Linked DNA regions of Oryctolagus cuniculus. The protein of the gene in region 2 purifies or fractionates together with the protein of the main gene of each other region. This does not show direct contact. Links are inferred from orthologs where the notes say so. Each region holds a gene or a part of one and is shown on either strand. Other genes may lie near its edges.

What was found. Proteins that work in one complex are often made in the same cells at the same time.
Region 1: the proteins of CD151 (region 2) and ITGB1 purify together in Homo sapiens (affinity purification with western blotting; 4 studies listed by BioGRID and IntAct, with this or other methods). This does not show direct contact. The link is inferred for Oryctolagus cuniculus from reciprocal best matches to the Homo sapiens genes CD151 and ITGB1.

The regions. Positions count from the first base shown.
Region 1 is NC_091444.1:108,918,883-108,922,382, reverse strand, and holds part of ITGB1 (integrin beta-1), read right to left. Parts: intron 3,250-3,500; coding exon 3,027-3,249; intron 1,229-3,026; coding exon 1,058-1,228; intron 1-1,057.
Region 2 is NC_091432.1:348,230-352,513, reverse strand, and holds the start of CD151 (CD151 antigen), read right to left. Parts: upstream 2,801-4,284; 5' UTR 2,647-2,800; intron 1,746-2,646; 5' UTR 1,690-1,745; intron 937-1,689; exon of another isoform or gene 904-936; 5' UTR 897-903; coding exon 813-896; intron 734-812; coding exon 542-733; intron 462-541; coding exon 387-461; intron 268-386; coding exon 163-267; intron 87-162; coding exon 1-86. Other genes in the region: CRACR2B (EF-hand calcium-binding domain-containing protein 4A), read right to left, coding at 3,424-3,589, 3,668-3,739, 3,862-4,028, 4,160-4,252. UniProt on the Homo sapiens protein: Structural component of specialized membrane microdomains known as tetraspanin-enriched microdomains (TERMs), which act as platforms for receptor clustering and signaling.

The sequences.
Region 1 (3,500 bases), on a different chromosome or scaffold from region 2:
TGGACTGCTTGGCCTCCTGAAATGTGAGTGATGCATTCCTGTGGTTTGTGAGCTGTCTGGTTCCAGCTGCCCAGCAGGACTGAGCTGTACATCCATCTTCTGCCTACCCACTTTAAAAATAATGAGCATTGGTGCCAGCACTGGGGCTAAATAGGTTAAGCTGCGCCCACAGTGCCAGCATTCTACATGGGCACCAGTTGGAGTCTCAGCTGCTCTACTTCCAGTGCAGCCTCCCTGCTAATGTACCTGGGAAAGCAGTGGAAGATGCCCAAGTGCTTGTGTCCCTGCACCCATGTGGGAGACCCAGAGGAAGCTCCTGGTTTTGGTCTGGCCCAGCTGTGGCTGGTGCAGCCATCTGGGGAGTGAACCAGTGGATAGAAGACCTCTCTCTATGTATGTATGTATCTATCTCTAACTCTGCCTTTCAAATAAATTAAATCTTTAGAAAAATAAAATAAAAATAATGAACACTGACTTTCTTAGTATCCTCAGTTCTCCACAGTGCCACGTTGGATGGATGGATGAATAAATGAATGTTCTGGAATTCTGACCACTTCAAAAAGACTACCTTGCTTAAGAACTTACTATTTCCATGGTCCCTGAACTGTGCCTACTGAATACAATGGCACTTTAAGTTTTTCAAGGTTTCTTCTAAAACAGAGTTAATTTTTAAAAGGCAGCTTTTTGGCCACAAGGAGGCTGTCCAGTTTCTCCAGCACTCTGCTGCAACACCTTGGGTGCGGCAGGAGCAGGAGACAGCCGGCGACGAGCAGGCAAGCCTGGAGATGCACAGGACAGGAAAGGAAGGGTGGAAAGCAGAACATCACAGCATGGCAAACTGGGTCTGAGTGAGACAAGGCCGTACCCGCGGGTGGACATGAGTGGGTGAACTGTGAGGACAGGCACGACTTCTTCATCTGTGCTGAGCACACAGGGATACAGGAGCCCAGAGGCAGAGCGCCTGTTACACAGATGATGTTTCCTCTCAGAAGGGAAGAGCTAAAAACTGGCCTGGAGAACAAAGAAGGAAAACTACTAATTTTCCCAACATTCCTACCAATTCGGAAGTCTGAAGTCACCCTCCTCATCTCATTCATCAGATCCGTCCCGAGACTCTTGACGTTCTCCAGATCATCTTTCATGGAGTAGGAGAGGTCCATGAGGTAGTAGAGGTCGATGGGGTAGTCTTCAGCACGCTTGAACTTCAACGTGAACGTCTGGGGCTCCCCTAGCCAAACGGGTCAGAAAAGATGTTAGCAAGCCAAGAACCAAGAACAAGTGAGAAAACCAAATGGATCTGATTTACAGGGCCAACAATGCAAGATGAAATGCACTGTCATAAACTTAACAAAACTCACTGGGTCTATACTCAATTTCATTCAACCAATACTTGACACTCCAGACCTCGGGGTGAAAAAGACAACATGCCGGCCAGCACCACGGCTCAATAGGCTAATCCTCCACCTGCGGCGCCGGCACACCGGGTTCTAGTCCCGGTCGGGGCACCGGATTCTGTCCCGGTTGCCCCTCTTCCAGGCCAGCTCTCTGCTGTGGCCCAGGAAGGCAGTGGAGGATGGGCCAAGTGCTTGGGCCCTGCACCCCATGGGAGACCAGGAGAAGCACCTGGCTCCTGCCTTCGGATCGGCGCAGTGCTGGCAGTAGCGGCCATTAGGGGGGTGAACCAACGGAAAAGGAAGACCTTTCTCTCTGTCTCTCTCTCTCACTGTCCACTCTGCCTGTCAAAAAATAAAAAAAAAAAAATTAAAAAAATAAAAAGGCAACATGCCCAACCTACACTAGGTAATCTATGTCTAAATCATCCATTTTTCAACGGTCTTGGGCTGGATAGGTCACAGGGCTGACTCTCATTCTAGAGACTGGCATTCTAAAGGAACTCAGGTCTTGGTCACAGGAAGCCACCACATGAAAGAAAATCACAGAATACGATTTCTGCTTTAGAAAATCTGGGTAAAGTTTTACAATTGGATTATAGAGTCAAAGACCAGTTAAGGAATGATGGAAAATTCAAGGGGAGGTGATGAAGATCTGAATTGAAACAGTGAGGATAGAGAACTGGAGACAGAGTTGTCGGCATACTTCAGTCACGAAACACAGGAGAATGAGAGGTTCAGGTGAAACATGGTTAAAAATCCTGTCTACAGACAGTTCTGGGAGACAGGTCAGAGGAACTGTTTGGAGCTCAACAGAAAAGTTTGTGTTGCTGCAGCTTTTAAATCATGACAGGAAAGCCAAGTTGTAAAGTGGACCACAGAGATGGGGACAGGAAGAGACACAAAAGCCTAGAAACCAACAGTGAAAGCTCAGAGAAGCCAGGAGCACCATCCTGGGTGCAGGAGGGTCAGAACAGACCAGCAGGCGCACGAGCTGTGGTGTCAGCCCAGTGCAGCGGCTGTGCTACAGTGGACTCAGCAGCAGGTGGACTGCACCAGGCTCAGTGTGAGCGCAGGGGCCAGGGTGAGGGGGACCGAGCACCACCACCTCCTGACACAGCACAGGAGTGGGTCACACACTGCCACAGACACTGACCAAGAATAATTTTAAAATACTGCACAAGAAAGGAAACATTACAATGTTGCCTTTATGATAATCGAAAATGAATCTTGATGTGAATGGAACGGGAGAGGGAGCAGGAGATGGGAGGGTTATGGGTGGGTGGGAAGTTATGGGAGGGAAAAGCCATTGTAATCCATAAACTGTACTTTGGAAATTTACATCTACTAAATAAAAGTTAAAAAATAAATAAATAAATAAAAAAGGTTGCCTTTATATAATGTAATCAAATCAGAAAATGGACAATACTTGTAAAGCCCATTAAGTCTAATTCACACTTGCCGAATCATTAGCAGATTTTACTTCTGACGATGGCAACATTTAACATTACTCCAGGAATATGCATTTCACAAGCTGTGTGTTTTCAGAAAACTCTGTAAAGCTGGCCAGCGTCAGCTGGACTGGGGGCCTGCCTGTGAGGACGGCACTTCAGGGGCAGATGGCTGGGCCCGCACCTGATCGCAGCTGCAGAACCAGCTGCTGGGGCTGGATCTGAGTGATATCCTCCGGCTGCAGCTTCTCTGCTGTGCCTTTGCTACGGTTGGTGACATTCTTATTTTTCTTTATGTCTCTGGAACCTCTGGGATTCTCTATGTCGTCTGGATGGCAGCCTTTCTTTTTCAAGGCTTCTAAGTCATCACATCGTGCAGAAGTAGGCATTCCTTCTTGCAAAAACGTCTAAACGACATTAAAACACAAGTCAGAGTACAAAGAGGGGCATATAATATAGCTCATTTCTACCTTTTAAACAAAATGCTCCCTTCATCCAAATCATAGAAAGCACTCTTGTTTAACAACAAAATCATTCCTGAAAAACTCATACCTTTCCCAGGACTGACTTACTAAGTGTTCATTTTAAATGTCTCACTCTTTGATTCCGAAGACGAATTTCTTGGTGAAATCACATATTCAGTGGGATCAACAGCTAC
Region 2 (4,284 bases):
GGGACCACGCGGTCCCCGGCCTCGCTCGAGCGGATCCACTCGCTCTCCCGCCAGTCCCGCGAGCTGTTGCTGCCGCAGCAGTGGAACTGCAGGGCCGAGAGCAGGGTCGGCTGAGCCGCCACGCCCGCCCCGGCCACCAGGCCCCCCCTGGGCCCCACCCACCTCCTGCTGCAGCTTGTCCACCGCGCTGGTCACTCCCTCGTGGCCTGGCTGCCGGTACTGCCTGGTCATGGTGCCCTTGAGGTTCTCCTTCAGCTCTGCGTTCAGCTGGGGGGGGCAGCTCTTCCAGGTCAGGCGGGGGGGCGGGGGCGGGGCCGGACGCCTGCCCCCCGCCCCCCCAGGCCCGCTGTGAGCCGCGGCGCTGCCTTGCCCCCCCCAGCCCTCACCTGCTGGTAGTAGACGTAGGCCAGGATGCCCGCGATGATCTCCAGCAGGAAGATGAGCAGCAGCAAGAGGAAGTACTAGGGGACAGACACCCCCGTTCTGGGCGGACCCCACGGGCGCAGCCCCCCACCCCACCCCCAGGGGCCCCACCGCTGACCAGGCGCAGCAGGTTCCTCCGCTCCTTGAAGGTGGCGCAGCAGCCAAGCACGCCAGTAACCATGACCACGACGCCGGCCACCACCAGGATGTAGGCTGTGGCCAGGTACGTGCTGGAGGCCAGCAGGCTGATGTAGTCACTCTTGAGGGCCAGCGTCCAGACCCCCACGGCCATGACGGCCAGGCCGGCCAGCTGCGGACAGCGTGCCGGGTCAGGCCGGGCCGGGGCCGGGCGCGGGGGGCGGGTGGCGCGGGCAGCCCCCCCTGCTCACCCAGAAGCAGCAGTTGTAGGTGAAGAGCAGGTACTTGAGGCAGACGGTGCCACACGTGGCCTTCTTCTCGCTGAACTCGCCCATCCTGGGGCTGGCGGGGGAGGTCGGAGGCCCGGGCACACGCCTGGCCGGGGGACCCGGAGATGCCCGGGCGCAGGGGGCAGACAGGACATGAGTCACTTCCCAGGGAGAAGGGCTCAGGAGCCCAGGACCCGGCAAGGGCTCCTGCTGACTCACTCCTGCCCGCGGCCCCACCGCGGGCTGCAGGCCCAGGACAGGGGCCCGCAGAGGCACCCCAGGGGCGGGGGACAGGGCTCTGCCCACCCTCACCGAGGCGCAGGAGCTGGAGGGTCAGCAGAAGGGCAGGTGTTCCCCCCCCGTGGGGGGGCACTGGGAGAGGCCTGCGGGCGCAGACTGGGGCTGGGGGGCACTGGGAGAGGCCTGCGGGTGCAGACTGGGGCTGGGGGGCACTGGGAGAGGCCTGCGGGCGCAGACTGGGGCTGGGGGGCACTGGGAGAGGCCTGCGGGTGCAGACTGGGGCTGGGGGGCACTGGGAGAGGCCTGCGGGCGCAGACTGGGGCTGGGGGGGCACTGGGAGAGGCCTGCGGGCGCAGACTGGGGCTGGGGGGGCACCGGGAGAGGCCTGCGGGCGCAGACTGGGGCTTGGGGGGCGCAGACTGGGGCTGGGGGGCACTGGGAGAGGCCTGCGGGCGCAGACTGGGGCTGGGGGGCACTGGGAGAGGCCTGCGGGCGCAGACTGGGGCTGGGGGGGCACCGGGAGAGGCCTGCGGGCGCAGACTGGGGCTGGCGCCCGGGGCCAGGTTTGCAGACGGGCAGCCCAGCTGCACTTTCACCTCCTGCCCCGCCCAGCACTCACCTGCGGCGGGAACAACGTCTCTGGGACAGGTGGGCGGAAGTTCCCAAGAAGCTGGGCTGCAGGGCAGGTAACAGGTTACTGGCCTGGCTCCTGCGGACAGGCAGAACCCTGCCCCAGCCTCCTAGCCACCAAGGCCGTGGCCAGGGCCCCCGGGAAAACTGGCCAGCAGTGGCCAGGCCCGGTATTTTTGTCTGGACAAGGGTGGGGCAGAAAAGGCATTCGGACAGTCCGATCCTGGGAGGGGCTTCGCCCCACCCATGCCCTCCGCCCACGAAAGAGCAGCTAGCGGGGCACAACCCCCCAAGTTCCACCCACGCCGCTGGGGAACTCAGACTCCCCGCATCAACTCCCGGGGCCACGCACAGCTGTGCCCCTGGGGCTGACTCAGAGGCCCCAGGCTTTGTGAGGCTACTGGGGTTGGACCGGATCCCCGCCACCCGGCCAGGCAGGGCGGCCCCTCCAGGGACGGCTGGTGGCCGTGAGCCCCCGGGGACAGGAGCGTGGGAGCCTGGGTGGCCAGAAATAGATACAGCGGCCGCGCGCAGAGCCGTCCCGGGCCTCTCCCGCGCCCCAGTGCGGGGGCTCCGGGGCTCCGCAGCTGGCGGGTTCGGGCGCAGTCTGCGGTGAGGTCACCGCTGGGGCCGGGGCCCGCCCATATGCACAGGGCAGGGGTGGGCCTGCGGGCGGAGGGAAGGGGCCGGGGTCGGAGACACTGCGTGGGGCGCTCGGGCTGGGAGTTTCAGGGCTCCGCGCACGGCGGGGACGCCCGCCAGTCCCAGGGTTCGGGAGGCGCCTCCCCCACCCCGACCGCCTGGCGCCGGGCTCCCCCGGAAGGGCCTGCGGCCGCGTCCGGCGGGCGTAGCCTCCCGCGCGCAAACGCCGGGCCCCGCGACCAGGCGCGCAGGGGCTGCGGGCCATCGGCTTCGCTCGTTCGGCCCGGCTCGGCCGCGCACTCACCGGCCACGCGTCGGAGTCGGCCCGGGCTGCGGCGCTGCGGGGGCGGCGGTTCCAGCGGAGAATGCGCGGCAGGGGCCGCTGGCGAGACGCCCCGCCCCCGACACGAGCTGCGGCCACGCCCGCGGCGCCGGGCCCCGCCCCCTGGACGGGGCCACGCCCGCGGCCCGCAGACAGCGCCAGGCAGGTCTGAGCCGGCTTCGCGAAGTGCGGGCCTCGGCGGAGGGAAGCGGGGCTGCGGAGGGGCTGGAAAGGAGGCAGAGACCACCGCGCGGAGGTCCCCGACAGCGGCGAGATCCGGCGGCCTCCCCGCGTCGGCAGAACCGAGGCCGGCCCGGGGCGGGGGAGGGTGAGGGGGCTTCGCGCCGGTGCGTCTGGGCCCCCACCCCCGGGGGTCTGTCAGTCTGTCAGTTCGGTTGGCAGGGCTGCGTGCCGGGAAACGCACTCGGGGTTGGCTGGTGAGCGTGGGAACCTCCACTGGCCGCCAGGTCCCACGGAAGGGACGGTGAGGGCTCGGGTGACGACCCACGGCCGGAAGCCCCCCGCCCCGCACCAGGGCCACGTGCCCCGCACAGGTACCGCGCACTTGCACGACGCCGAGGACGAGGCAGTGCAGTCCCTGGACTTTATTTGGCAGTTTTTATGATTTTTCCCCGCTGGACACCGATGCGGACAGGAGGAAGACGCCCCACTGCCCCCCAACCCCTACTCGGCCCCTGCGCCCGCAGGGCTTCAAGGCGCGCCCTGTCCCGCTAACGCCCTGTGCGTGGCTCGGGCCGGTCAGCGTGCACTGGGAAGGTGGCCGGAGCCACGTCTGGGGGGACGAGTCCAGCCGCCCAGCGTGGGCCCGGGCGGGCAGGCGGTGGCCGGGGCCTTCCTGCGGCCGGGGCCCAGCAGCCGGGCCTCACAGGCGTCCCTCGCGTCGCGGAGCCGCGTGTTCAGCTCCCTGGGGAAGGCAGAAGGCGAGGTCGGAGGGGTCCCTGCCCTCCCGGAGGGGCCGGGGCTGCGTGGCGCCCGCCCGCACCTGAGCAGCTCCAGCTGCCGCAGCAGGCTGCGTTTCTCCTTCTGCATGTTCCTGGACACCGCGACCACGTCTCTGCGGGCGGGGAGGGGCGGCCTGGATGCGGCGGACCGCTGGGGAGACCCCTCCCCTGCCCCGCAGGCCCTGGGGGGTGGAAGTGGCCCGGGCCGGGGCCGCGCCTGCCCCGCCCGCCGCACCTCTGCGTTTGCTCCTGGCGACCCCGCGCGTCGCCCTCCAGCCTGCGAAGCTGCTCCTGCGCCCCCTCGAGCTGCGCCCGCAGCGCCTCGTGGGCGCGCCACAGCTGGGCGTTCTGGGCCTGCGCCTCCAGCTGCTCCGCGACGCGGGCCTGCAACTGCTGCTCCAGCTGCGGGTGTCGGGGGCGGAGGCTGGCGAGGAAGGCCCGCCGCTTCCCGGGGAGCCGCGCCCGCCCGTTCCGGGGCCCGGGACCTCGGCAGGGCCAGGAGCGCTGGGGAGGGGCGAGGGCTGCGCGCTCACCTCCCGCTGCCGCAGCCCCGCGCGCTCCAGCTCCTGCTCGCAGCTCTGCAGCTCCACCTCCAGGCGGCCCCTCCACTCCTCCCGCGGCGGGTTCTGGAACGCGCGGGCACCTGAGCCTCCGCTGG